Linked DNA regions of Canis lupus familiaris. The protein of the gene in region 6 purifies or fractionates together with the protein of the main gene of each other region. This does not show direct contact. Links are inferred from orthologs where the notes say so. Each region holds a gene or a part of one and is shown on either strand. Other genes may lie near its edges.

Region 1 (3,697 bases), on a different chromosome or scaffold from region 6:
GGACTAAAGAAACTGTAAGAACGACATTCTAGAGTCTAACAGGAATTCTAAATTGTGCACAGATACATTTAAAAAGTTAGCTCTGCAAGGCTAGTTACTTTCAAACTACCCCTAGGAGTACTTCTTAGTCCACTTGAGCTTCCTTTAGGGTTCCAGCCCTGTTAGTGTGTGACTCCTGGATTCTCTTCCTGCTCACTCAACACTTTTGGGAAGGTGTAGGGGGATTTACATGATTCATATATTTAAAAAGAATAAATGGACGTGTACATACAGGCAGCCCTTCCCTTTTTCTTCTCTAAGAGCCAAGCCCTGGCTGAGAGCGGGAGATCTGTTCTGGAACTTCAGAGAGAAGGCCTCAGGCTCTCCCTGCCCAACGCCCAGGAGGCCCAAGCGAGTCCAGCACTGTCAGGGTTGGTAGACAGACCTGTCTAATCTGGGGTTCAGGGCTGGACCGTTTGCTCTCACACAAAGCAGTGTCCTCTGTGAAGCCTTTATCAGTAGCAAGGGTGATGTTCTGGATTTGTCTTGCTCCTTGCTTACTTCTCAATTTACTACAGTCATGTAGGAAAGAGGAGCACTATTTATTGGCTTCTTTAGGCCAACGGAAATAAATGAAATAAATGATGATATCTTAATTTTCAGAAAAAACAACTAAATTTCTATGCTTCCAATATACTATAATTTTACTTCTTCACACTTGATATCCTCCTCAGGGCTAAGGAAATTAAAGGCTTCTTTCCTAGGTGAACTTTAGCCATTCCTAAATTTGATAAATTTAGCATATTTGGGGGGTTAGTTTTTAAATGTAATATATATTAAATATGAAAAACAGACTAATGCTAAATACTAATAATACTAAAATACAAATAAGTATTTAGATAAATGGAATATATATGTACTCATATTTCCTTTAAATTTACCATCAACTTTAAGTTTCCATATGTTTAGTCTTTAGTAAGTGACGCTATACCGTCCTATTTTGAGTAAAAGAAGAAAGGGGGTTCTTACAAGAGGGAAATCGGTGACATAGGCGTCGCACATCACCACGTCGGGTGGCTTGTGGACTATGCTCGTGTAGATTATCATGACATTGGAGAACTCGGCGGCAAACCCTAACTGAATCTGAACGCCACACTGAAATTTAAGACACATACTTTCTGGGAGTTCTGAAAAAGAACAAAAAGAACAACTTATTTGAGAAGTGCTTGGTAAGTGTTCTGATAAGCAACAGGCAATTGTTCTTTATGGGACAAAATATAGTGAGAGCTTCTGCTTTCGCTTAAAAATGTTCTATAACACATTGTTGAAAAACACACAGACACACATGCATGCACTTAAAGAAAGAGAAAAAAAAAAAAAGCCCCATGTTCTGCTGGTCAAGCAAATAAGAATCTTTCATTGACTATTTCCTTATAGTTCTCATCCCTCTGCATATGTAACTTTCACAGTGGGAATCGAAAGTATCCATACAGTTGTAGATAAATTTTCACTGTTCCCTCAATCTTCATGAAAACAGTTAAGAAAGCATAATGTCACTGAATATTTGTTACTTTGAACAATTCCACTACTCTTGAGTATCTGTGGTATTTCTGGGTTTAATTGTTTTTCTATCATAGTCATTATTTTGAATATATATGTACTTAATGCTTTAGGATTATTAGATACAGCTACTCGAAGGTCCCTCACACATGTGACATCTCCTTTTATATAGAATATAAATAGATCTCACCATAACATTTCCAAAATGAAGTAACATTAATTTTCAAAGTGTGTACCTAGTTGATGGTATTAAAAAGGAAAAACTGTACTATCATAGTTTTAATTTTATTTTCTCTAATTACTACTTAAGTTTACCATTTTCTGTATTTGTTTCTTATTTATTTATTTATTTTTTAAAAATTTTATTTATTTATGATAGTCAGAGAGAGAGAGAGAGAGAGGCAGAGACACAGGCAGAGGGAGAAGCAGGCTCCATGCACCGGGAGCCCAACGTGGGATTCGATCCTGGGTCTCCAAGATCGTGCCCTGGGCCAAAGGCAGGCGCTAAACCGCTGTGCCACCCTGTATTTGTTTCTTAATTATTAATATATTCTCAATTGTGTAGGCTGAATTTGCATCCTTTGATGATTAACTGAGGGAGTCTTAATGTTTTTCCTTTTACCACTTTGCGTGCGCTCTTTAACATAAAAAATACCAAATCTGTTACAAAAAAAAAAAAAGCTCTTTCTAGACAAACTCTCCACGTCTCTAGAGCCTGTTCGCCTTTGGTAAGGTGACATTTACCCATATCTAAAAGATAAGAATTAAGTATTATTTTAAGACCACAATTTTTTCATTATGTTTTAAATATTTAGGCCAAGAACTATCCTGCAAATCCAGTGATGTTTTCAGTATCACTTACTCACTCAACAACTATTTTCCTGAACACCTAGTATGTGCCAGGCATAGTTCAAAGTAAAGAACAGATAAAAATATTGGACGAGCCCATGTCTAAAGTTTCTTTCTTTTTTTTTAATGCGAAGTCCTAATTGGCTTTATTAGGCAGGCAATTCATGAATTCAGCAGCATCTCACACAGCAAGTAAAGAAATGCTCTCTTTGTTTCATTTCATAAAGGTTGTATTTACTGTTGATTTTTACCACCACGATTTTGTTACTGTTGTTGTTTAGGGCTTTTTTTAAAGGAAAAGAATCAATTTCTTTCTTTTTTTTTTTTTCATTTCAATTACTTATCCAACTATCTGAAAAACCAAGACACTATATTTGTGGCATTTTATTTTAATGTGCTTTAACATATTTACCAAAAATATATCTTAGAGAACAGACTATTAGAAAAGGAAAGATATTATATAGAAGTTCAACGAATACAACTTTCAATTATCTACAGTAAGGGATACATAATACAGATATTTGGGACTCACAACAAATCTAAAATCTTCATTTCGGTCAATAATTTAAACTTACTTTTTCACTAAGTCACATAGAATTACCCAGGGTAATGAAGTTACGGGTATGATTTCCACCTCACCTTCTATTGTCTTGCTCACTGACTCATGGATTCAAGAGTCAAAGACAGAGAATACTCAGTAATATTTATGAGCACGTAGTATTTGCTGACGAGCGTGCTTCTCTATTTACGTGTGTGATCTCATTCAAGCCCAGCAACCTTACCAGGTATTATTTTTTGTCCCCATTTATAGGTAACGTGCTTATCCAGTGGTAGAGACAGGATCAGAACCCAAACCTGTCTGATTTTTCAAATAGCACACTTCCAACAGCTCACAAAAGAATAGGATCTAAGGGACTGTATATTACATAAGTTGTTTAGTCTTGGGTTTGCCCACCAGGCTAAAATATTTTCACTACAAAATCAAGAGGAAAACTATTTATTCAGGAGAGAAAAAATCTCCTTCATCATTTAATGCAGCATAGTATAGAAAAATCTCACAAAAAGCCAGACGTCACCATACCATGTGCCTTGGCCCATTGTAGATTCCGAACCAGAGATTCTGCGGAATAGGCTGTTCCCTGAATCGGGTCAGTAAGTGCTCTCTTTTCAGATAAGCTACTCCGGATCTCTAGAGCCTGTTTGCCTTTGGTAAGGTGACATTTCCCCATATCTGAAAGATAAGAAATAAGTATTAAGACCACAATCTTTCTGTGTTTAAAATATTTAAGTCAAGAATTCTCCAGCAAAT
Region 2 (3,697 bases), on a different chromosome or scaffold from region 6:
GTTACAAGTAATCACAAGATGGCTGTATTTCTGTTCAAAATGCCTTATATGGTGTTCTCATCTTTATTTATAGCTGGTCTGTCCCCCAAATTTGTATTTCACTGGTGGTTATACAAAAATTAGCTGGCATTTATGAAGCACAGACTTAATGATAGGGCAAAGAATCCAGAAATATGGACGTCCAAATTAAACGAACCTGGGCTTCAAAAAAAAAAAAAAAAAGGGATCAACTGTGGATACTGACATTATTCTAAAAATTCAAAAAAGAATAAACTTGATGACTAAACTGCTCCCTTCTGCCTCTTTCCCCAAAGTTAATAAATGTAATAATAAACATAAAAATTACTCTTCTAGTAGAACCAGTTAGATCCTAAGGCTAATTCTACGATAACAAATGTCAATCAACAGATCTTTTAATGGAACTAGAATCTCACACAGTTAAATGCAGTTTAAAACAAGTGGGCCTATGCTTACAAGCATGCTCATTCAAGGGAAGTTTGTAGTGAATCTTATTTATAACAAACTGAATACTATTCATCACTTTTATAAATTAAACCTCTATGTAGGAGAATATGACAAAGAGGAAAAATCCCAAGCAGTACTACTTCACCTAAGCTGTGTGTGATCCCAAAAGTCATTTAGCCAGGGCCTCTGGTGCGTGGTTTTACAGGAAGCAACACTCAAAACTGTCAGCAGTTACGTTCCATATTCCTAAGGTTCCATAAAAAGGCTCAAAAGAATGAAGTATTTTTTAAAAACTACACTTTTGCTCGGATAATTAAAACATCTTCTTAACTGGACCAATCAAACTAGGATTAAGGAAATCAACCTGCTGGGAGCACCATCTCAATTCAAAAATACTTGAGACTATGCCTGGTGGTGCTCTCCCCCAATACAATTAACTGAGAGCCCTCCAGAGCAGTTTACCTGCACGTTAACAGATTTCAGCAGGTTAGATTTTAACAAACATACAAGATAGCAGACTAGGCGTCAAACCACATTTAAAGTTACAGGACTAAAAATATTTCAAAACATTTAAAATGAATTTTTTCTTATTTTAAATGAATACTGAGAAAATTTCCCAGAAATCGGAGGTTTTTTTCTTTTGTGAAATAATTTTTAGGAACAAAAGTAGAACACCTTCATAACTTTGACTTTAGAAGGCAAATTTTTAAAAGCATCCCACTAATGCATTTCTCATATTGAGGTTAAAATATTGGCCCAGGTTGTTGCAGTTTTTCTTCTCCTGTCAAGGGCTGACCTTGGTGTTCTACAACTGAGTAATAAAATCCATTAACTCAATCCAAAATAGACAATAATAAGAAAAAAGCCCGAATGCTTTCTTACATCTAAGAAATACAGAAAAGAAACAGTGCGAAAGGAGTCTAAATCAAGGATTACATAGCAAATGTACACGAAGGTGTTAACACAGGACAAGTACATTCAGTCACCTGCTGGAGCAAAATTACTGGATCAAAAGCACTCTGTCAACAGAGAAGGACTGATGGTAATAGACATGGACTGTTCACCTAACATAAAGGTAGGAACTGCACCCAACCCCACCCCACCCCGACCCACACTATACTTAGACATCCTTTTCCTTCTAGACAGATAGCATTTAAGATACAGACATTCTTGAGAAATTCCTATGAACACACCGACTGCTGCTTTGGGTAACAATCTAGCACAAATTATCAGCCCAGACAGCCTCAGATCTGCGCCCATCTTCACTTCCGACCTGTATCTTTTGAACTATACCTGCAATCTTTATGGCTACAGGATCCTCTGAAACTGGAACAAGCCCTTCTTTGACTTCAATCTGCTTTTCAGAGACCAGGGGAGATGTGGCAGGAGGGGAATACTTAGTTTCCACAGAAGCCACAGGTGAAGAGGAAGAGGGCTTAGAATCATGAAAAAGGCTGGCCCATGACTTAGGCTGGCTGGTGGGAGCAGTGCCCGCCACAGAGGCCGGGGTGTCGGCAGCAGGGGAAGTGCTCTCGGCCTTAGCTGGGTCCGAGTCCGTGCTCTCCACAGTGTGCAACTCGACTCCGTTGGCAGCTGAGCCCTCACCGGAGGATTCAAGTATTTGTCCGTTAGCAACTCCAAGGTTTTCAGTAGTATGAGTTCCCATGTAAGGCTGAGCCACAGCTGTCCTCAACAGGCTGTCCCTGCCAGCCTCCGTAGAGAGGCAGGACTGTTCCAAGTCAGCCCCGTGGCAGCCCTCAGGCTGCCCTGCAGTCCTGGTATCACCATCGAGGGCTCCAGGGAAAGGCCCACCAGGCACAGCGTCACTGACGAAGTCCGTGGAATCCTGAGGGCTGCTACAAGTCCTGGGCGTCCCCGATGGGGGCACCTCACCCACTAACTCTGCATCCTCTGAGCCTACGATGTTTGGGACTGCCGAATTGGCGTGGCCATTGACCAGGGCTTCCGTGGGAATACTACCCTCACCACCATCTTTCAAGTAACTGTAATATCCTGGGGGACGTTTTTTCTTCTTTTTACGCTCCCTTTGTCCAAGACCACCCGAAACACCATCACTTTCTAAAACTTCAACCTCCGCGCTAGAACTGCCATCCAGGGCAAGGGCAGAGCCTGGGTACTGGCAGTCAACTGAGCTGTAGGTAGCTTCTTTATCTAGGTCATCAGGGGGTTTTTTGGAAGTTGTGCAACTGAGAATAAATTCAGGGGCCTGAGGATTCAATGTGCTTGAAATACTGTAGTTGGGAGTTCTCGGCAAAGTGTCATTGGGTTCAATTACTTCATTAACACCAAATTCAATTCTCTGATATTCTTGTCCTGTTTAGAAAAAAAAATGATCAGTCAATATGCCATTAGTTACAAACACAGCTACACAAACTATAAAAGTCTCAATAATTATTTTCTTTCTGAAACTAAATCCTTAAAGTCTTCTAATTAACACAGCTAGGACAGTTCATTTCTGTGGCAAATAATTTGCCAAAAATAAACAGTAACTATAAAACCATATTTAATTTTAGAGCTAGAAAACCAGAAGACTGTATTCATTTTTCGCTCTTAGAGTGGCTAAGGGAGACTTTCAAGAGGTCAAAACGTAAATGAAATAATAAAAAGCACGTCATATTCTGCCTAAAAACACCCCTCAATGAAATCTGATTTTACTGGCTTATTTTCTGACTGAAACTAGGGTATATGTATTTTGGACAATTTAAAAAGAAAATCATTACTAATACCTTAGGCATTTAAAGTTATTACTCTATTTATGGCTTCTCTAACTAGTGATTGAGTCATGCAGAAAGTATGCACTACACCAAGAATTCCCCTCTCTATAAAGGTGTTCTTCAGAGGCACTCTCTGGAACCCTCCATCTCCTGATCTTCTCCACTGACAACCCTCCCTAAAGTCTGAAGAGGGCCTGACGTAAGTGCATGTCAATGTACATTAATGAGTTCACAGTGGGTCAATTCCATGGGTAGTGAAAATACTTTCAAAAATACCAAGACAATTAGGACTGCAACCTCTGAAAATTCTCTTTGGAATACTTCGGTACTGGCTACTGCCAACTGGCTATTGGGAGTACAGACAATCTACACATTCCACCCGTTACAAAATGTACATTTTTTTCCTGGTTCACATTTCTAAAATTTGATTAAGTTATAGAATCAGCTGCATCTTTCAAGAGACGTCAAGCATCAGTGTCATCTGATATCTGATGAAA
Region 3 (4,146 bases), on a different chromosome or scaffold from region 6:
TCCTAGTCAGCCCACCCCGCGGCCCACCCCACAGCCCACCCCGCACCGGAGGAGCAGGGAGCAGTCCCGGCACCCCTTGGAGCTGCAACACCAGATTAGGAATGACGGTGGGTGGTCTTTCTGGGTGAAAGCGAGGCTGGCCCCGCAGCAGCGAGCCTCGGTTCCGATAATGGGGCTGCGTTATTTGAAAATACTTATTTGAAAATACAATCGGCAACTCGTCGCAGTTGAAGCATCTTGACATTTCTGTCCTCTCATTCCGGGGGCGGGGGCGAGGGAGGGAGAGAAAGCCAGTGAGAACATGACAGTGACTGTACCAGGGCCTTTCCAACAAACCGGTTAAGCAATGCTTAATGCCCTGAGTCAGCCCGTCCCAGTCGCCAGAGCCTGTCTGTATAGACAAATACAGAACTGCCCCAAAGAAATAATAATAAAGTAGTGGTTTGGAAAAGGTTGAGGCGCCTGTGTCTGTCATCTGACGTGTCGGATCACGGTCATCACCCTTACATGGTATCAGGGTGGGCTTTGCGGCTTCCTTTCACCTCCCATTAAAGTTCCCCCAGCCTCCCCCAGTGATTGGTCTCGCCCACGCCCACAAGTGGTTTTCAGCTCCAGCTAAGTGAGGATTGCAGCCTCCTGGAGACAGGCCGGCCTGCCAGTCCTCCCGCCTGCCTGGACTCTGTGGGCAAGAGCACAGGATGGTTTTTCCTGGGGAACTCAATTGGGACATGAACTAATCCAAGAAACCCCCTGTTTTATTGTAGCAAGAGCCAATAAACACGCCTGGATTCCGGGCAGCCGTCACGCAGAGCCACGTGGCCGCCCAGCCACCCCCGGTCTTTGGCCCTGACCGTGCTTTTTACCTTGTGCCTTGGGAGCAGGTGAGTGAAATAGAAATCAAAGCAGCTTACGTTGCTGCGAGAAAAGAGCTTGGGCACCTATGAAGCGTTTGATCCTATACTGGGTGGAGGAGGGTGGAAGAGGATTAAGAAGCAACAATCCTGTTCCTCAAGGAACTAACCATGTAGTAGTAGCAGGCGGTAAAATTAATATATTTGAATAGTCAGTAAACAAAACAAGTCTTCCAAGACCACCCATTACGGCTCCCCCTCTGTGACTCCCACGACTCCTGCTTTATTTTTGTTAGAGGGAATTCAGACAAAATCATGTTGGTCCACCCTCACACACATTTTATTGTTGACGAAATCCAGGCCTAGGGAAACCAAAGTGAACTAAGTCACAGAGCCAGCAAGGAGTGGAGTGAGGACTTGAAACCAAGTTCCCTGTCCTCTTTTTGAGATATTTGTTTAATAGGAAAATTAGTATTTTTCCCCTCATCCCTTAAAAAGATTTCCCCTATTCTAGGGATGCCTGGGTGGCTCAGTGGTTGAGCGTCTGCCTTGGGGGGCTCCGGATCAAGTCCCCCCCCTTGGGGTCCCCACAGGGAGCCTGCTTCTCCCTCTGCCTGTGTCTCTGCGTCTCTGTGTCTCTGATGAATAAATAAATAAAATCTTTTTTAAAAATCCCCCTATTCTAAGAGATCGTTTTGGACTTGGAAGTCACCCAAAGCTTGATTAGCTGCTGAGATCAAGAACAAGCATTTCTCCCCCGGGTTTTCCTTGCCAGTAAACGTCGGGGCTGCTTGGGGGGGGTGGGGGCGGGCAGCCGGCAGGGAGCTGGCCTGAGCCTCCCCGCCCGGGAAGCGGGGTCCAACTCTTCCCTGCAGGAAACGAGGTTCCAGAAAACTGTGCGTTTTCCTTCCATCTTTGCCACTGACGTGTCCCGGGGCTGGAGGCCAACGACTTAAGTTTTGCCGGGCCGGGCTCCCTCCTGGGGACGTGGGGCTGGATCCTCCCCGGGGCTCGCGGGGACACTGAGGCCTGCCCCGGCCGGCTCCCGGGTGGCTCCCAGGTAGCTCCCAGGTGGCTCCCAGCCAGCACAGCGGGGGGCACCGACCCCTCCTCCGAGAGTCCCTCTCGGCCCCTGCCGGCCCGAAACCTCAGCCACCAGCACGGTCTCCTCCGGCCTGGACCGTCGGCCCAGGGCGGGCAAGTTCAAGGTGGGGAGGGGCAGGTGGGGGGAGCAAAGGAGGACACAGGGTGTGGGGAGAGGGTCAGCGGCCAGGAAGCAAGGCGAGGCCGGCGACAGCTCTGACGGCTTACCTTGGCGCCCCCGGGGACAGACGGACGACGAGGGCCGCGGTGGTCGGCTCCCTCCTTCCCGGGCTCCACCTGGGCGGCTCCCGCCTCCCGCTCCCTCCCGGCCAGGTACGCGGCCGAGCAGGCTCCGCGGCAGGAAGGGGAAGTTGTATGCAAATTTCTAGAGAGGCTCGGAAGCCTCCGCTGAAAAATCTCCCTGCGGGCAGTGAATCAACAGCCGAGAAGTCACTTATTTCTTGAAACAGAAACCTCCTTCATTCCCTAGAAAAGGCCCCGGACTGGCCAATTAGGGTGCATTTGTGCTCCCACCACCCAGCTAAGTAACCGTGGAGGAATGTCTACACGGCCCGCACGTCGGGGCCCTCGCCCCAGCCAGGAGGGGGCCTGGGAGGATGGGGTGGGGTGAACTTGGAGGTTACGGAGGTGGAGGCTGGGGGCAGGTAACCCGGTGCCCTGCGAGGCCAGGGCTGCTCACCACCGACCTCTGGCTGGGCTCGCCCCCCCTCTCCCAGCCTGCACACACGCGGGCACACGCGCCCTGCCGTCGACAGGCCTGAAAAGGTGACACCTTTTAAGAAAACACACCTGCACGTATATGCGCACTGTCCTCCTCTGGCTGTGTTGTTCACGACCTCACTCACCTTTATTTCTTCTCTTTCCTGCTCCTTGTTCAACTTGCAGAAGTGAAGGTCAAAGGGGATGCTGGAGACGGGATGACCGGGGCAGCCAAGTGTGATGGGAGCTGTGGCCGCCAGGGCTCCGGAGTCACAAGGATGTGGCCGGGCCCTCCAGCCAGGTGCCTGGGCAGGGACTGCGTGCTTCTGGGGCTGGCCCTGCCTGCCCGTGGGAGAGGCCCAAGGGTCAGCCCGGGCAGCTGGCCGGCTCTCCACCCTCCTGCAGGGGACAGACCCTACAGCACCCCCTTCCAGACTGCCGGCTTCTGCTCGGGTAGGTCCCGTGCAATGGGCTGCTCTTCATTCTGTGAGCAGAGGAAACACGGCTGGTTTTTAAAATAACATAACAGGCTGTGTGTGTGTATATATATATATAAATATTAATGTTACATATATACATATATATTCTTACAACGGCATATTATGCAGCTGTGAAAAATCATAAGTACGTATGCATGTGTTTCTACATTCTAACTCGGAAAAGTGGCTCTGGGATATTATTTATTGAGAAACGTGATCTCATTTTTGCCAATATATATGCCACATACACATGTCCATGTACTTACATACGTAGATTGGTGTTTGTTTTCTGCTGCTGAGGACCTGACACAGTGCCCAGAAGATAGTAGGCAATCATTCTGTATCTGTCGAATGAATAAATCATAAATGTCTGGAAATATGCATGCAAACTGTTAAGCGGTTGTCACCTCTAGGGACTGAGATTGAGGGGAATGCGTGAGAATGGAGGACTTTTATACTATTTACACCTATGGGCTATTTGATTCTTTTTTTCTGCAAGCATATTTCTTAAAAAATAATATTTATTACTTTGGCCTTGAACTTCATGCCTCAAAATTATTATGATGATAATCTTTTTTAGCTTAGGGAAAAATAGTATACTCTGTTGCAGCAGCTGGCACCAGGATACTTGGAGAACAGAGAAGAAAAGAATGTCAAGGGGAGGAAACAAGGAGAGCCAAGGAAAGAGGCGGGGTGAAAATCATTTTCGTTTCTCTTAGATCCCTTCAATGCACTGGGAAAAGCCCGGAAGATGCTTTTGTCAAGTGTTAACCTTTGGAATACGACCCGTCAGGAAGGATAGGGAGAATTTTTTTTTTCCCTATTTCTCCTACCGTTTCCCCAGATGAGAGGCCTGAGGGGCCCTGTGGGAAGATAACCAAGAGCTGACCTGGGTGCTCTTAATTGCTGTTAGCTGGGCCTTCCGGGCCTTCCTCGTTTATCCTGAACAGAAAGGCCTGCACTTGGAAGAATGGGTTAATGCTTCCTCCCTCGGGCCTCTGCTGCGGCCCTCA
Region 4 (3,697 bases), on a different chromosome or scaffold from region 6:
CTATCTCCTCACCACCACTTGGTGCTACGAACTTTCTGCCTTTTCTCACTTAATGGCTGGAAAGTGGTACCTGGCTTTATTTCACATTCACTAATGACTAATGGGCTTGAGCCCTCTTTGTATGTTGTAGTCCCTGTCCCCCATCTATTGAGCAGCGAGGCGCAGTACAAAGCACTTCTACTCACACTACCATCTTCTAACAAGCCCAAGGCGGGTGTCCTCTCTATGCTCTAGATGGGGACACCAAGGCTCTGAGAGGTTGAGAGGTCCTTGCCCTTGACCACAGCACTACCCTGTGGGGTCCCGTGCCCCTACAGCCAGTGGGGGGCTCTTACCATGCTGCAGCGCCAGGCTGACTTTTCCCCCCAGCTCCACTGCAGATGCACGGCGGCCAGGCTCTTTCCTCAGCCCCTCCTGGATGGCCTGGGCGGTGAGAGGGGCGCAGGAGGGTGGGATCTCCCTCACAGGTGGAGGCTCGCTGGCGATCTGTGGGTCAGAAGGCAACATGTGTGGCCTGTCCCCCCTCACTTCCCAGGATGCAGCTTTCTGTTCTTGCTCTTCCCCACTCTCCCCTACCCTGGGGTTGGTCAAAAAGACTTGAGAGGGCTGGGACTTTTCCAAGGAAAAGGAGAAAAGGGGCCAGGTGGGCCAGGCCAGTGCCAGATGGCAAGGTGCCCATGACCAGCCCATAGGGAGGCAGCAGAGATGGCACAGTGTATGAGTGGAGGAGAGCCCCGACCTGCCATGAACTCAAGGGGATCCCTCACTTAGGATCTCTCCTTGGGCCTGCAGATTTGGGTGGCAAGCATTTTAGTTAGGATCCCGCATTTATGATGAGGCCTCTTCCTGTTGCCATCTGCCACCCAAGAGCAGACCAAATGGGGGCCACCTTAAGCGTGCAGCCTGGGCCCTGTGGCCCTGCTGGCTCTCCCTCTTCACCATCCCAGGTGCCGTCACTGACCTTGAGGCAGAGTGGCCCTCTAAAGTACTGGGTCCAAGGGTGGCAGCCGTTGAGCATGTGAAGCATCATGCAACAGCTGCTCCAGACATCCACCTTAGCATCACAGGGCTTGCCCATCACCACCTCTGGGGCCATGTGGGTCTCCGTGCCAGGGATGTAGTCTCCTGAGAAGGTGGGGTGAGACCGGAAAGCCAACTATGAACTTTGATGGGTAAGAGCCTTGGCAATGACCCCCTCTCTCCCTGGCCATTGAGTCAATTCAGTGAAAATACCTGGAAAAACCTAGAATTTATCTCTGTTAAAGTATCTCAGACAGAAAGGAAGCTTCCATATCAAACCTGCTGGGGATGAGCTAAGTCAGGGGCTCCACTGGGAACTGGTACAAAGAACACATCACCCAAAATAGGGGCTCGGCCCTTTGGACCAAATCTTTAGAATGCCTTTTTTTTTTTTTAAGATTTTATTTATTTATTCATGAGACACACACACACACACACACAGAGAGAGAGAGAGAGAGAGAGAGAGAGAGAGAGAGAGGCAGAGACACAGGCAGAGAGAGAGGCAGGCTCCATGCACAGAGCCTAATGCAGGACTCCAGGATCACACCTTGGGCCAAAGGCAGGTGCTCAACCCCTGAGCCACCCAGGAGTCCCTTTAGAATGCTTTTTAAAATTGGGGAGGGGGAGATCCCTGGGTGGCGCAGCGGTTTAGCGCCTGCCTTTGGCCCAGGGCGCGATCCTGGAAACCCGGGATCGAATCCCATGTCGGGCTCCCGGTGCATGGAGCCTGCTTCTCCCTCTGCCTATGTCTCTGCCTCTCTTTCTCTCTCTCACTGTGTGCCTATCATAAATTAAAAATAAAATAAAATAAAATTGGGGAGGGGCCTGGACATTGAAAATCAGGTTGCAGGAGCCTAATTAATGGTTTGATGTTCCTGAAATTTCAGTGCATGGGAAAAAAAACCCAAAAGACTTCTAGTCTTAAGACTAGAAGGATCAATACCAGATGTGAAATTTTCCCCCCGCTTCTGGTGATTTGAATTTTTTATTTTTGCTTAGTTCTACTTTCTACAAAAGATTTTAGGGGCAGCCCAGGTGGCTCAGTGGTTTAGCACCACCTTCGGCCCAGGGTATGATCCTGGGGGCCCAGGATCGAGTCCCACATCAGGCTCCCTGCATAGAGTCTGCTTCTCCCTCTGCCTGTGTCTGTGCTCTCTCTCAATCTGTGTCTCTCATGAATAAATAAATAAATAAATATTAAAAAAAAAAAAAAAAGATTTTAGAAAAGGACTATTTTTGTAATAAGAAAAAAACTCACTATTTTAAAGTGAAGGGCAGATGTCCATTAGAATTTACGTCTTTAGAATGATCAACACAGTCCTTTTATAACAGAATCACTTCTAAAAGATTGTTTTTCTTTCGGTCAAGAAGAAATAATTTTATGCTTAATGCTCTAAATGAAAAAAGCAAAGTATAGGGGTGCCTGGGTGGCTCAGTCAGTTAAGCATCTTGTCTTCAGCTTAGGTCCTGGGATCAAGCCCAGCACTGGGCTCCCTGCTCAGCCAGGAGCCTGCTTCTCCCTCTCCCTCTTCTGGTCCCCCTGCTTGTGCTCTCTCACTCTCTCTCTGTCAAATAAATAAATAAAATCTTAAAAAAAAAGTGCAGGGCACAAAATTGGGTTATATCAGCCTTAACTTTGTACAGGTAAAAAAAAAAAAAAAAAAAAAAAGACAGACAACCTGGAAGGAATTATGTAAAATGTTCATGATCATCTCTCCAGGTAAGAGGAGCAGAGTGGGTTCTATTCACCTCTTCTAGACCACGTGACTCTGTAGTTGCCCAATATTTTACAATGGATGTGGATTATTTTATTTTATTTTTATTTTTGATTATTTTAATAATCTAAGAACAAACATTTCTCCAGCTACAGAGCCTCGACCCCCCATTAGCCCTCCTGTTGTGCTTCCAGAAACCATGCTCAGAGGCCCAAGAGGGCCACAGCCACAGGCTGGGAGCATAGCCATCCAGAAAAGGCTATAGAAGATAGCTGGAGCTCTGAAGGTGCCTGGGCAGGACACCTGGGGCAGGGCAGTCAGCCTTTCTGTTCCCTTCTCTGTGGAACAGGAATATCTGAAAATATCAGCATCTGATGCTCATTCCTGTGTTGAAACCTAACAAAAGCTTTCTGAGAACCTAGAGTTGTGGAGGGCTGAAACAGAATGGTAGACAAGGAACACTTGCATCTCTATTACTCTCTGACTGCCATTCCAAGCGCACAGGAGACCTGGGGTGACTGAGCAAAGGCCCCTGCTAGTCATCCTGGAAGGGCAGTGGAGGCAGGGCTTACCCGTGACCACGGACTTCCCCAGCCCGTTGGGTTGAAGGCACACGGCATGGCCGAAGTCACAGAGGGCCGCGCGGCTCCCATCGCTGGACAGGAGCACGTTGTCAGCTGCAGGCCACCCCAGAGAAGAGGAGGAACAGGTGAGTCAGTGTAGGCCCCAGCCCACTCTGGACCTCCAGGGAGGCAGTTTCTGGCCAACCCTACATGGCAGTTGCTGCTTCTAATTAGTTTCATTAGTCATGAGGAAGGGAAGGGGGTGATCAGCTCAGGCTAGAGGCAGGCAGCAGGCAGATCTCTGAGGTACAGGGACAGAGTTTACTCCTGGGGCTGCTGCCACTCAGCTCTACTGTCCCCCTGCCTTCTCCCAGTGGTCATGGGCCTATAGGAGCTGGA
Region 5 (4,171 bases), on a different chromosome or scaffold from region 6:
GTATATGAATTGTTTGCTCTTTTTCACTGCTGCATACTATTCCACAATGTGACCACACCACAGTTTATCTCTTTATTCTGCTGATGGACCTTTGGGTCGTTCCCAGAGTTTGCCTATTGTGAACAAAGCCACTATGAATATTAGCTATTGTGCATGTGACACACACCTAGGAGTGGTGGCTGGGTGATAGGCTTGGCATAGGTTTCACTTAAGAACTGCCATTTTCTGAATCTTTTATTTATTTATTTTTTAAGATTCTATTCATTTATTTGACAGAGAGAGAGCACAAGCAGGGGGAGCAGCAGAGTGAGAGAGAGAAGCAAGCTCTCTGATGAGGAGGGAGCCAGATGCGGGTTTGACCCTAGGACCCTGAGATCATGACCCCAGCCAAAGGCAGACCCTCAACTGACTGAGCCACCCAGACACCCCTGAATCTTTTAATATTTCTTAAAACCAGGAAAAATAAACCTCTACCTGGTGATTGTCTGAGTATTTAGTGGCTTCTAAGGTATAAGACTTTAAGCCTGTACCTGGAACACAGTGGGAGGCTCAGTAATTGCTGGCCTCAGCCCCAAACAGAGGAAGGGCCAGGCAGCTGGCAGGCGCTGTGGGGAGGTACCTGGTCCAGACCCTTGGGCAGAGAAGCCTTTCCCACACAGCACTCAAGACCCACAGCCAGCAGTCTGGGCAGCCCGAACTTGGCGCCCCTGCCCTGCTCTCACCTACCCAGCCTCCTCGCACTGTGATCCTGCTTCCTCAGGCCCAGCATTGGTGTCGCTTCCTGTGCACTTTGCGTATCACTCGATATTTATTGGGCACTAACTTTATGCCAGGCCCTGGGTGCCCCGGTACAAATGCCATAAAGACCCTCCCCCCTCAAATTACTCAGGAGGAGTGATTGCTTGGCGTAGGAAGCATGGGGACCCAGCCGAGCACTGACTCCGAGGTCGGTCAGCCACTTGAGTTCTAGCCAGATTCTGTATTTCCCCTGGAAGTTTGTTCTGGACAAACAAAATAATCTGATCCTCTGCGCCCCAGCAGGAGCCTAGGTCTGCCCGGAGCGCCTGTCCCGCGGGTCCAGGCCCTCGAACCACTGCCAAGCGCCCACCCCCGCGGCCCAGTGGCTCAGGCTGGCCGCCACGCCCCGCCCCCGCCGCCTGGCCAATGGCCTCGCGGTCCCGCCCCTCTCTGCCGCGCCCCCTCCTGCAGGGGAGGGTTCCGGGGTGTCTGCGGAGGTCCGCGGGTAGCCGGGTAGTGGCTACCGAGGTAAGTTAGCCGTCCCGGGCGCGGTCGGTCCCCTGGGCTCTGGGCGCGCCGATGGCTTTCGGAGCGGTGGTCAGCGGAGGCAAGAGCGGAGCGGGACGCGGAGCCCACCGGGGCGCACGGGGGTCCGGGGACGGGACTGGCTGCGCGGGGCTGGGTTAGAGCCGGTCCCGAGGCGCCGCGCTTCGCGGCAGCGCCGGGCGGGGCGGGGGGGCGTGGGTCGTGTGCTCGGGCGGGAGGGGAGGTTGGGGGAGCAGACAGGCGCTGGCTGCTGAGTGCCTCCAGCGCCCCGCAGGCCGGGGGTGACCCTGGGGCGAGGCCTAACCTCCCGGAGCTGCGGCCGCGCCTAGAGGCCGCCGTCCTCCCCCGGGCCTTGACAGTTCTCGGTGGTGACATCTGACCAGAACAGCCTCCCTCCCTCCCTCCGCGGGCCTGGTTCCTTCCAGGAATTGGAGCCAAATCAGTGAGGCCTCGCCTCTCTCCTCCGGGTGGTTATTTCTTTCCGGGACGCACTCAGCGCGTCCGGGGCATTCAAGGTAGGAACTTCTCGCAGCGTCAGTCCGCCCTTCTCTGAGACCGGAAGGAGCTGCTAGGAAAACATTGGGGGAAAAAAAAACACAACCAAAAAACGACGTTCTGTGCACGCTGTGGAGCCTTAAAAACTTCTGGAAGGACAGTCAGCGATCTGAGAACTGCGACTGCCGAACAGGGCAGGTTAGCATGCAGTCAGCCTTGTCTGAATGATTTACATACTATTCCTACAAGAGAAGGGACTACGTCTTTCAGCCTCCCTGGCACACCCCCATCTGAGGACTCCCCTCACCCAGGCAGTGGCCTTGGTCCCTCTGGGGCTGTGAGTCTCACTTGTTGCAGCAGCCCCTATGTTCTGTAAGGTGTATGGTGAACTGCAATGAGACAGCAAGTCCTGGGTTCAAATCCTGTTAGGGCCACTGGTCTGTTTGTACAACCCAGCATCATTTCTCCTCTCCTAAAGGAAAGAAAATTAGAATGTGCCTGCCTATAGTAGATCATGAATAAATATGAACAAATATGGGCTTCCTTCCTTTTTGGTTGGAGCATGTTCTACTTCCATACCCCCCAAACTCTTGTCCTTAGGGCTGCGGCTCAGATGCAGAAGAATGTATCACCTGACTCTATCCTTGTCCCTCCCCACATGCCATGGAAAGAAAGGAGAAAAGCGTCATTTAGCCACCTTAGAGTTCTTTGCTCATCTCCTGAACGCTCAGAGGACCCCTGCCCCATCTTCTTGAACCTCTTGACTTCTGTCATTGACACTTGCCACACCAATAATGTAGCACCTGGTGGCTGACAGAGCAAGGCATGCCACATGAGGCTATGAGGCCAGCAGACAGGACTACTGCCCCATTTCCCATATGGGTGACAGACTGGTGGCCCCAGCTCTGCTCTGCAACATTATCTTCTAGAGTCCCACCCAAGCCACACACCCACATTTTTGCTCCAGTCTGGCTCCTCTTCTGACCCCTTTCTTCCCAGAAAACCCACTTGGACATGTCATAGTGTCTCAGACTTGAGACACTATGATCACCTGATCAAAATGGAGCTTTGGAATCCTCTCTGCACCACAGCTTCTCCACCAGGTTCTCTGGCCTGCCTAAATGGCACCATCCATCTACCTAGTGCCTGAGGAGTTATCCTTGATTCTTCTCTCTCCCTCACTTCCCACATCCAGGACCCACTAGGAATCCAGCCACCTCTCACCATCTCCATGGGCAGCATTCTGGCCATACCCATCCTGTGGCCCCCTGCTTCAGCCTCCCAATTGTCTCCCTGCTTCCATCCTGGCCTCTGTACAATCCAGGTCCTCACAACTACCAGAGAGGTCTTTAACATAAGTCAGATCCTCTCCCTTCTCTGCTCAGAACCCCCAGTGGCTTCCCATTTCACTCCAAGAAACCCCCCAAAGCAAAAATAACAACCCCCAGAGTCCTTTCCTGCAACACTGCACATGAGCCACCACTTTTCAGAACCTCCTTGACCTTGATCCCTTCCCCTCCCCTTAGCTTTCTAAACCTGGACCACCCAGACCTGCTTTCTGTTCTTCAAACATGCCAAGGTCATTTCCACCTTAGGACTTTTAAATTGCTGTGCCCTCCGCCCAAAATGCTGATCTTGCAGCTCAGAATGGCTCAGCTCAAATGTCACCAATTCAGAAAGACTTACCTGACCACCTCTGTTCATGCAGCACGTCCTTCTCCAGGGATTCTGTCTCAAAACCCTGGTTTATTTTCTTCATAACTTGGTTACTATTTGGAATTCTTATTTATGTACGTGTTTACTGATTTGTTATCTGTCCCACCCCAATAGAATATAAATTGGATGATGGCAGAGATCTTGTCCCTCTTATTCCCTGCAGCTCTCCCTGAGGGGGAGGCAGGTAAGGAACTCACAGACAACCCCATCTATAATTGCAAATTGTGGTAAGTCCTACCTAAGCAAGTAGTAGCAATTGCTAGTAATTGAGGCACTTGTAAATGTCAGGCTTATGCAGTTGAGCTACTGTATTGTCAAAACAAGCCCTCTGAGTCATTTTAGGGGTAAAGAGAAGACTGTAGAAAGCCGGTAATTTGCCCTAGATCATACGGTGAGTGGAACTAGCCTCCTATCCTAAGAACATGTATGTGGCAAGCTTTAATGGTGGGCTTGCGGTCATGTTCTGGAAAGGACCTGACCTCTGATCTTTGCTCTTCTGCTAACTAGCAAGCCCCTTAATTTCTTGGTACCTCATTTTCTTGACCTTTAAAGTAGGATGATCCTATTATTATTTTGGGGCTTTTTTCTCTTTTTTCTAGTGTACCCCAAAGAAGCAGCAGTCCTTGGTGGAGTCCTCTTGCTATCAGCGACTAGGGACACATACAGACCTTGGGAC
Region 6 (3,697 bases):
CCGGCCAGTTGCTCTTTTCTGCGCGGCGGGGTTCCCGTAAGCGGCTCCCCGGGTCTGAGGCACCAGTGCTTCCTCGGCTCTCACGGCCCCGGGTGCTGCCCTCCAGAGAGAAAGGTGGACCCCCGTGGTGGCGGCAGGGCTGCCTTCCCCCCAGGGGAGGGGGCAGGATGGTGTTGGCCGTCGTCCACGCTGGGGGGACCTTGTGGACGTGCTTCCATCTAGAAATCGGAGTGTGAGCAAAGGTGTCACAAGGTTGTGCTTGCTCGCCTTGGGCTTGTCGCGTTGCTGTTTGCCCCTGTGTCCCCCCACCCCGCCCCGGCCTCCAGGTGTCTACAATCCCATGTGTTGTTTTTAGGACAATTTGGTGTCCTTTCTGCCTGTTTTCTGTGTACGTGAAAGAAACCGCTGGGGTGGGGCGTCCGGGTGGCTCAGTGGTCGAGTGTCTGCCCTTTGGCCCAGGGCGTGATCCCGGGGTCCTGGGATCGAGTCCCACATTGGGCTCCCCACAGGGAGCCTGCTTCTCCCTTTGCCTGTGTCTCTGCCTTTTCTATGTGTTGCTCACGAGTAAATAAGTAAAATCTTAAAAAAAAAAAAACCGCTGGGGGCAATTTTGGTCCATTAGCGACCATGCACAGACGTCAGCAAGTGTGGGCTCCCAGGCAGTGTCCTTCTGTGTCCTATCCCCTGTGGCTGGCCATATAGATGGTAAGCTGGACAGCTCGGCCTCACAGCCCTGCTGGTGTCTCAGGTCCTTCCGTGTGGCCCTTTGAAGAGCTTCACGCCTCTGACACACGGAGGTCCCCCGAGCCTGGGGTCTGTCCTGCGGGAATGGCACTCACCCTTGCGCCGCGCCCCGGGCAGGCAGCGGGCCCACCTGGTGATGACCACGTCAGCTCACAGATGGAAACGTGCTCAGTCTGTTTGGACAGGTGTGGAGAAACAGCGAGACCAGCGATGATCCCCAGCAGGCCCCACCCCCTCCCGCCCTAGCAGCCCCTGTCGCCTCTGCGGTGGGGTGGGGACCGTGCAGGGCCTGGGGCCAGCAGGATGACATGGTTAGAGATCTGGGGAGCTGTGAGAAGATAGGAGACTGGAGATGGGAGATTGGGGGCTAGGGGGTGCTAGGGCTTAGAGCATGGAGGGCCTGGTGAGAAGAGACGAGCTGTGGCACCATTGCTGTCACCCAGCCAGGCTGGGGAGGCTCCTCTTGCAGGCGGATGCATTTGGGACTGCAGCTGAGCCATGGAGGTGGGTCAGCCGCCTTCTTGCCGCTTCTAGAACAGTGACTGGGAGGGAAAGAGTCGCCCCCAAGCTGGCTCTCTGTGGTTGTCCCATCTCTGGTAACCGTGTGTCCCCCCTGCCCCCCTGACATCCGAGAGCCACGTCCTTTCTCACGGCAGATCGGCTGTGCGTTGGCAGGATGTTCTGAGCAACTCCTGCCCCCGTGACGGCGCTCTGCCTGCAGGCCGCAGAGCTTCCAGGGCCGTCGGGCTTCGAGCTCCTCCTCAGTGCCGCGGGGATCCTGTGAACGCCCCGACACCCTGCCCCCCACTCCTGCCGAGGCCCTCCCGTGACCTCCCCCTTCCCCCGTGCCAGGGCCCGGGCTGCCAGCGAGCAGGCCCGGCAGCTGGAGAGCGAGCGGGAGGCGCTGCAGCAGCAGCACAGCGTGCAGGTGGACCAGCTGCGCATGCAGAGCCAGAGCGTGGAGGCGGCCCTGCGCATGGAGCGCCAGGCTGCCTCGGAGGAGAAGTGAGTGGCTTCCTGCCCCCGGGGGGACAGAGACCAGAGGGCCATCGGGGGCTTTCTGCCTGTCAGCGAGCCCGTCTGCGGGCCGTCCCTTACCGTCATCACACCTACACGATCCATCTCTGATGCGATGGTATGTGCTCTTCAGTCCACGTCCGGACGCCCCCTTTGGGCCCACGTGGCAACAGCGTCTGGTCCCAGTCCCTGCATTGCATCCGTTGGTGTGCCTTGGAGTCTCCATTAATCTAGAACACTTCTCCCACATCTCTGTGTTTTTCACAGAGTTCACTTTTTTGAAGAGCCCAGGACTGTTCCACTTTATTATAGACGGTTCTTATTTTTAAAAACGTTAGCCTTAAACAAAGGGATACTAAGCATTTAGTAAAGCCTGTCTTAGGGCTGCTGGCCTTGAAGGCACAAACGCACCCTGCAAGCAAGCCCCTTTCTGGTCTGTGGACATGAGGAGGAGGACCGTGGAGCGGGGTCAGGACAAGGTGGTTTCTCCAGCAAAGGCTCCTCTTCCTTAGGCGGAAGCTGGCCCAGCTACAGGTGGCCTATCACCAGCTCTTCCAGGAGTATGACAACCACATCAAGAGCAGCATGGTGAGCAGCGAGCGAAACCGAGTGAGTATGGTGGGGCTGTCGCGGGGACTGTAGGACTGACTTTGCTTCGCTTCCTCTCCCTGCCGCCTAGAAACAGCAGAGCTCGGGACCTGCTGCCACTGATTTAGGGCCATGGGAGCTCAAGTTCTTATTTGAACACTTGCCAGAATTTGATTTTGGGGGGGATGTTTGACTTGTCGTAGACCTTTGTCAAGGTCGCAGTGTGACAGCTCAGCGCGGGTGGTGGGAGACTGGGATCCTAGGGCTGTGCTGTGTGTGGCCTACGGTCCCCTGGGCCGGGCCTCTGGCGGCGCTCTGTGTGGCCTGGGAACATGCTTGTCTCCGTGGCCAGTCCTTCCCACCAGCTTGGCTCCTGGCTCAGAGATCCCAGAGCCAAGGTGAGGCGTGGGACACTTCATCACACTACTGGGAGTGGTGCTGGGAGCCCTTTTCTGGTTGGTTTTCATCAGACCTGTACTGGGTGCAATGTCAAGTGATCGCGTTTTAAGAAGGATGCTGTCAAACCCGAATGTACCCAGGGGACATCTCTAAGGCTTGTAAGGGTAACACCTGACACCGACCACACCAGGAAGAGTTAGTTACACAACTGTGGCCTTTCGATCTGCAGGAGGAAGGCTTGCTGGCATGTGTGGCTGTGTCTGTGTGTGCATGCATCTGCGTGTGTGCATGGGGGGCTGAGGGCATCTGGGAGGGAGCAGCAGACCTTTGTAGGATGGCAGGGTGGCAGGACCCACAGGTCTCAGCTTCGTGGCGGCATGTGGTGGACTGTTAGCACGGGAGAGCAGCTGAGCGTGGAGGGGATGGCCTCAGGAGGGAGGATGGCCCTGTCCGCTGAAAGGTTAGAGGTGGGCTGTCCGGCTGGGGATTCTGGGAAGGGAGTGTTGGCCTGGGTGGGAAGTTGTGCCACATGATGTCAAAGGTTCCCTGTAGCCTCTGCCTTTCCTGTGCCGTGCACGCCCTGTCGTCTTGTGCTCTCCACCACTCCAGGGTTGGCCAGCCAGGGCCCATCTTTCATTGATTCCTTTTGGTTCTTCTCACCTGGAGCAGCAGCCGGCCTGGTGGCAGCCTGGTGCCTGCCACGGGCCAGTTTGGGCTCCTGCAGTTCCCCCTTGCCCGTTCCTAGGGAATGCAGCTGGAGGATCTCAAGCAGCAGCTCCAGCAGGCCGAGGAGGCCCTGGTGGCCAAACAGGAAGTGATCGACAAGCTGAAGGAAGAGGCCGAGCAGCACAAGATCGTGATGGAGACCGTCCCGGTGCTAAAGGCTCAGGTGAGGGCACTTCTCTGTGGCCCGTGTGCGGGTCAGCCGACTGGGCCTGCTGGGCCCTGG
Region 7 (4,434 bases), on a different chromosome or scaffold from region 6:
TAGGCCCCCTCCAACAGCAGCCCCGTAAAATCCCAAACCCTTTTCCGTTTTCCTGAATGCTAAAAACAAAAACCATAAACAAAAGTGCCCAAAGCACTCACATCAGAAGCATTACTGATCAACTCTCGAAGAAAAATTTCCTTGTTAGAATAGAAGGTATTGATGATGAGGGACATGAGCTGGGCAATTTCTGCCTGGAAGGCAAAAGTCTCCACCTCCTCCTCTCCATGGTGCACTTCCTCAGGCATCTAAAATAAGAACAGTCAAGAATTACAAAAGAACACCGTGGCCCCATAGGTAACACTCCGTTTCACCCTACTCACAACGAAGACTCAGCTTTTAGTTGAAATTGCTTTGGGCTGGATAGTAGACATATTCCTGAAAAACTAGAAAACTTTTCCCTCAATGATTTCAGCCTATACCCTTAGTGGAAATCCAATTCAGGAAGAATTTTTAAAAGCTTCTCTAACACAACACACGACGTCAAAAGCGTTTTGGAAAAACACCTTGGAGCCTAAGTACTCTAAGTGGTCCATGGGACCCAACAGACTCCGCATCACCGAGTACCTCGTTGAAAATGCAGATCGGATCCAGGAACACGAAAAGGACTCCAGATAATTTTCAAGAGAAAAGCACTGAATACGGCTCTATTTCTTTTGGTAGGACAAACGGTAGCCCGAGGCGACCAATTTCGGGTTAAAAGGAATTCGCAATTGGCTCTCCCGCTGGGGGTCTCCCACATCAAGCACCCTGGAGCGCAGGGGCCGACTACCCCCGGGGCCGGTGGATACCCGCCCAAGCGGCTGAGACAAAGAACCGCTAAGGCAGAAGCTCCATCGCGACCCCAGCACACGTGACTACAGCGTGGGACCAAACCAAACATAACCAAGATGGTGGCCGTCGTCCGCTGGGCAGACCCTCGTCACTGCCGGACGTGCGTCGGCCAGGGCCACGCGAGGAGGGGGCGCCACCGCGCAGCCTCCCTTCGCCCCAGCATCCGGGCACCAGGGCGGGGCGCCGGGTTCCAGAAGCTTCCAGAACAATCTCAGCTCTTCGGAGAGGCGGGGGAGGAAAGGGCCCATGAATCTTCCCGAGCTTGCCCCCTCCACTCCCCTCCCCCACACCGACACTGCAGGAAAGATCTGGAAGGAGAGGAAGCACTATGGGCCAGAGACCGCCGTCAAACGTTGCTCGCCGAAGGTCACAGAAAAAAAAAAAAACGAAAACCCTTGCAAAACGCGTCCCAGGGGACAGATGGCACAGGCGGCACGGGCAGGCCAGCCCCGGGCCGTGCTGAGTCACGTCCAGCGCGCACACCCACAACGCGCGGGGACCCTCCGGCGCCCCGTAGCCGCGTCCGGAAGTGGAGGGGCAAACATGGCAGCGTCCCGGCCGGCGCGGACACCACGTGCAGCTGCCCACCACCCCCAGCCCGCGCCGCGGCCCACCTCCCCCAGCGCCAGGCGCCGCCCGCGGGGACGCCCGCCACCAGGCACGGGTGAGAAAGCAAGTCTAGCTCGCGGTCCCCCTCCCGGCCACCCCCGAAAGCAGTTAGGAGTCGTCCCATCCCACAGGCCGCTCCCACTCCACGAAACCCAGGCTTTAGAAAGGAAACGAGGAACGAGAGCAACTCAAGAGAGCACTCCAGGCAGGAAAACCTGGAAATAGCTACGACTTTACCTTAAAGGGGAAGAGCTGCAAGCACTACAGACCACGGCGGGCAGGGGCTGCGTCCGGCTACGACGCCGAACCAAGGCTGCGCGGGGGTGACTCAAGAGAGCGGCTGTGCGCCCCCGGCCGCTCTATATACGGCGGAGCACAGACCAGCTGCCGGCCCCCGGATCCCTCCGCCTTAAAGGAGGGTGCAGCTCAGCCCCGCACCTGCCGCTGCCCGCCCACCTTGACGTCATGGCCCAAAATGGGGCGGGCGGGGGGGGGGGGGCCGCCGGTCTCGGTCTCCGCCTTCAGAGTACGCAAGTACATCTCTGCTTTTGCAAGGCATGAGCTCCCTCCGAGAACTAAAGACTGGGAACGTCTTATTTCATATGAAATAAGTGGGGGATCTAGGGGTGCGGGTGCCACTGGCCTTCCTATAAACCATGAGGCAGGCGCCTCCCCACTCGAGTCCTGGCCTGGAGGAACACCTATAAAGGTGGAGGGCGGGGATAGAAGCGGCCAACCGCTCCGACCTCGGCTCCCGGGTTCGACTCTTGCTACAATCTGCCCTCCAGACCCCCACAACCCGAGAAGGGGAAGCAGTTTTCCTTAGGGACGGTGCGGAATCCGGGGTCTAACCTCAGGGAGGCCTTGCGCCCCGGCCCTCCCAGGGGCAGTGGGCGAAAGCCGCGGCTGTGCGGCGGGGTGTGGCTCCGGCTGGGGGAAGGGCCCTGGCCGGCACCGGCAGGGGGACTCTTTGCCCGCGTCCGGCGGAAGGAGCGGCAATGGTGGTACTGCGATTACTTCCAGCAGTTTCCAGACCCGCCTTGGCGGCCCCGCCCCCGCCCCGCCCCCTCCGTGCAGGCGCCGCCCCGCCCTCTGCGGCCTGGGCCGGGTGTCCGCAGCCGCCGCGGTCCCCGGGGAGGAGGCGGGCTGTTCCCCTATTAACCTGGGAGCCCGCGGGGGGGACCCTCATCTCCCACCTGCCGGTTCGGCGAGCCCAGCGCTCCCTCGGGAGTGGGATGGAGCATAAAGGGAAAGATTGACCCCCCCACCCCCGCCATCGATCCCACGGCCTGGGGCTGTTGGGGCGGTGGTGCTGGCGCCGCCTTCGGGGCGCAGAGACCCGGGGACGCATTCGCCATCGCGGGGGGCGGGGAGGAGGACCCTCCCCTACTTGTGCATCCGCCCAAGTGAGTGGGACCCGGAGACCTGCGTCTTCCCTGCGTGAGCACACGGAGCTGTTTCCCCATCTGGTTTCAGTTTGGGCCCTCTTCGCTCCTGCGGCCGGCAGACGGGAGGAGGAGCGGGCCCCCTTGCAGGCTGCCAGAAGTCGTTCCCCTCCAGCTGCGGCGCGGGCGCTCCCGAGCCGTTAGTCGGCCGGGAGAGCTGTGGGACGCCGTGGCTCAGCCCCTTTCGCGCGCCTTCCAGAGGGGAAGCCGTCCTTGTCTACCTAAGGCCTCCCCTAGGAATGCCGTCGGACCCACGGCCCCTCCGGAAGAGAATGGCCTCTTGCTGCTCTGTGACCTTGTAGGGGTCCATCCACTTCTCCCTGGCCCACAGGGTCGTTCCCTGGAATCCTGGGGAGGGGCTGCCTCCGGCACCACCGCCCGCCGTCCTTCCTCAGCCTTCTTCCTTCCTTTGTATTTCCTTATTCATATGTTAAATTCCGAAGAACAGACCTTCCAATTCCTTATCTTTTCCCCAAGCACCAGACCTCATCACCCAGCCACAGCCACCACTCCTATATTTCTCCTTACTCTTTTATTCAACCCCACACACACACCTGTTTTAAAGATTTTTATTTACTCATGAAGACACAGAGAGGCAGAGACAGGCAGAGGGAGAAGCAGCTCCATGCAGGGAGCCAGACGTGGGACTCGATCCAGGGTCCCCAGGATCATGCCCTGGGCCAAAGGCGGCGCTAAAACCACTGAGCCACCCGGGCTGCCCCCTATTCTCCTTAATGGTGTGTGAGAAATCTGTGACTTGGGGAAGTTAATGTGTTTGGGAAGAGCTGTGGGTGCTGTTGCCAGGAATCCTCCAGGATTCTCTGTTCCTGATCAAGATCTCAAACGAAGTGTGTCATCCCTCAACATACCCTCTCTCTTTCTGGGCAGAAGGGGCCTAGAAAATTAAAAACCTCCCTAGTTCACAAAGAGCATTCAAACTATTTCACAATACTGTGAAGAGGTAAAAGTGAGTCTCCCGTTCTCACTGGGAAAGCAAGGCTTCAGTGAGATCAGTCAGCTCAGAGCCTCTGTTGCACCAACCCTCGCTCCTTGCTCCAGGAATGGAGTAGCAATGCTGTCTCCCTTCCCAGGACCCAAGTCCAAAGCAGCAGAAATCACTCCTGTGGATCAGTATTAAGACCAGAGACTCCCGGGGTCTTCTAATGGGAAGATCTCAAATCACGCACTAGCACAGAAATTCTGTCTTTTCTGGAAGGCTCTCCCACTCGCTGACACTCACTTAAGCCCCCCACAGTGAGTTCCTGGGATGCAGAATTGCAGAAACAAGATGGAGGTTTCAGCCCCTAGAGGGCTGCAGCAGGCCAAGTGTGAACCATAGCAACAGGAGAAATATCAGACTCCCAGCTCAGCCTGAGGCAGGGGACAGGCTTAGGGCCAAGGCTGGCCAGTCCCTGGCACAGGTATATGTCCCAGAAGAGGGAGAAGCATGGAATGGCACAGCCCTGACAGAAGGACCATAGCCTGGGAGCCCCAAGAGAGGCAGAGGCATTGAAAGTGGCCCTGCAGGGAGAGTTCACAGAGGGCC

What was found.
Region 1: the proteins of IKBKG (region 6) and MALT1 purify together in Homo sapiens (affinity purification with western blotting; 4 studies listed by BioGRID and IntAct, with this or other methods). This does not show direct contact. The link is inferred for Canis lupus familiaris from reciprocal best matches to the Homo sapiens genes IKBKG and MALT1.
Region 2: the proteins of IKBKG (region 6) and USP10 purify together in Homo sapiens (affinity purification with western blotting; 3 studies listed by BioGRID and IntAct, with this or other methods). This does not show direct contact. The link is inferred for Canis lupus familiaris from reciprocal best matches to the Homo sapiens genes IKBKG and USP10.
Region 3: the proteins of IKBKG (region 6) and TRAF3IP2 purify together in Homo sapiens (affinity purification with western blotting; 3 studies listed by BioGRID, with this or other methods). This does not show direct contact. The link is inferred for Canis lupus familiaris from reciprocal best matches to the Homo sapiens genes IKBKG and TRAF3IP2.
Region 4: the proteins of IKBKG (region 6) and MAP3K14 purify together in Homo sapiens (affinity purification with mass spectrometry; 6 studies listed by BioGRID and IntAct, counting the BioPlex papers as one, with this or other methods). This does not show direct contact. The link is inferred for Canis lupus familiaris from reciprocal best matches to the Homo sapiens genes IKBKG and MAP3K14.
Region 5: the proteins of IKBKG (region 6) and MAVS purify together in Homo sapiens (affinity purification with western blotting; 4 studies listed by BioGRID and IntAct, with this or other methods). This does not show direct contact. The link is inferred for Canis lupus familiaris from reciprocal best matches to the Homo sapiens genes IKBKG and MAVS.
Region 7: the proteins of IKBKG (region 6) and HSP90AB1 purify together in Homo sapiens (co-immunoprecipitation; 4 studies listed by BioGRID and IntAct, with this or other methods). This does not show direct contact. The link is inferred for Canis lupus familiaris from reciprocal best matches to the Homo sapiens genes IKBKG and HSP90AB1.

The regions. Positions count from the first base shown.
Region 1 is NC_049222.1:17,460,634-17,464,330, forward strand, and holds part of MALT1 (mucosa-associated lymphoid tissue lymphoma translocation protein 1), read right to left. Parts: intron 3,620-3,697; coding exon 3,470-3,619; intron 1,167-3,469; coding exon 1,009-1,166; intron 1-1,008. UniProt on the Homo sapiens protein: Protease that enhances BCL10-induced activation: acts via formation of CBM complexes that channel adaptive and innate immune signaling downstream of CARD domain-containing proteins (CARD9, CARD11 and CARD14) to activate NF-kappa-B and MAP kinase p38 pathways which stimulate expression of genes encoding pro-inflammatory cytokines and chemokines.
Region 2 is NC_049226.1:68,257,970-68,261,666, forward strand, and holds part of USP10 (ubiquitin carboxyl-terminal hydrolase 10), read right to left. Parts: intron 2,800-3,697; coding exon 1,759-2,799; intron 1-1,758. UniProt on the Homo sapiens protein: Hydrolase that can remove conjugated ubiquitin from target proteins such as p53/TP53, RPS2/us5, RPS3/us3, RPS10/eS10, BECN1, SNX3 and CFTR.
Region 3 is NC_049233.1:68,474,380-68,478,525, forward strand, and holds the start of TRAF3IP2 (E3 ubiquitin ligase TRAF3IP2), read right to left. Parts: upstream 2,935-4,146; 5' UTR 2,801-2,934; intron 2,458-2,800; exon of another isoform or gene 2,356-2,457; 5' UTR 2,163-2,355; intron 1-2,162. UniProt on the Homo sapiens protein: E3 ubiquitin ligase that catalyzes 'Lys-63'-linked polyubiquitination of target protein, enhancing protein-protein interaction and cell signaling. Transfers ubiquitin from E2 ubiquitin-conjugating enzyme UBE2V1-UBE2N to substrate protein.
Region 4 is NC_049230.1:18,179,176-18,182,872, reverse strand, and holds part of MAP3K14 (mitogen-activated protein kinase kinase kinase 14), read right to left. Parts: intron 3,413-3,697; coding exon 3,308-3,412; intron 1,126-3,307; coding exon 962-1,125; intron 487-961; coding exon 336-486; intron 1-335.
Region 5 is NC_049245.1:17,973,473-17,977,643, reverse strand, and holds the start of MAVS (mitochondrial antiviral-signaling protein), read left to right. Parts: upstream 1-1,247; 5' UTR 1,248-1,266; intron 1,267-4,171.
Region 6 is NC_049260.1:123,433,201-123,436,897, forward strand, and holds part of IKBKG (NF-kappa-B essential modulator), read left to right. Parts: intron 1-1,596; coding exon 1,597-1,749; intron 1,750-2,273; coding exon 2,274-2,370; intron 2,371-3,493; coding exon 3,494-3,637; intron 3,638-3,697. UniProt on the Homo sapiens protein: Regulatory subunit of the IKK core complex which phosphorylates inhibitors of NF-kappa-B thus leading to the dissociation of the inhibitor/NF-kappa-B complex and ultimately the degradation of the inhibitor.
Region 7 is NC_049233.1:12,844,911-12,849,344, reverse strand, and holds the start of HSP90AB1 (heat shock protein HSP 90-beta), read right to left. Parts: upstream 2,898-4,434; 5' UTR 2,880-2,897; exon of another isoform or gene 2,869-2,879; intron 1,840-2,868; exon of another isoform or gene 1,676-1,839; intron 894-1,675; exon of another isoform or gene 568-893; intron 249-567; coding exon 102-248; intron 1-101. UniProt on the Homo sapiens protein: Molecular chaperone that promotes the maturation, structural maintenance and proper regulation of specific target proteins involved for instance in cell cycle control and signal transduction. Undergoes a functional cycle linked to its ATPase activity.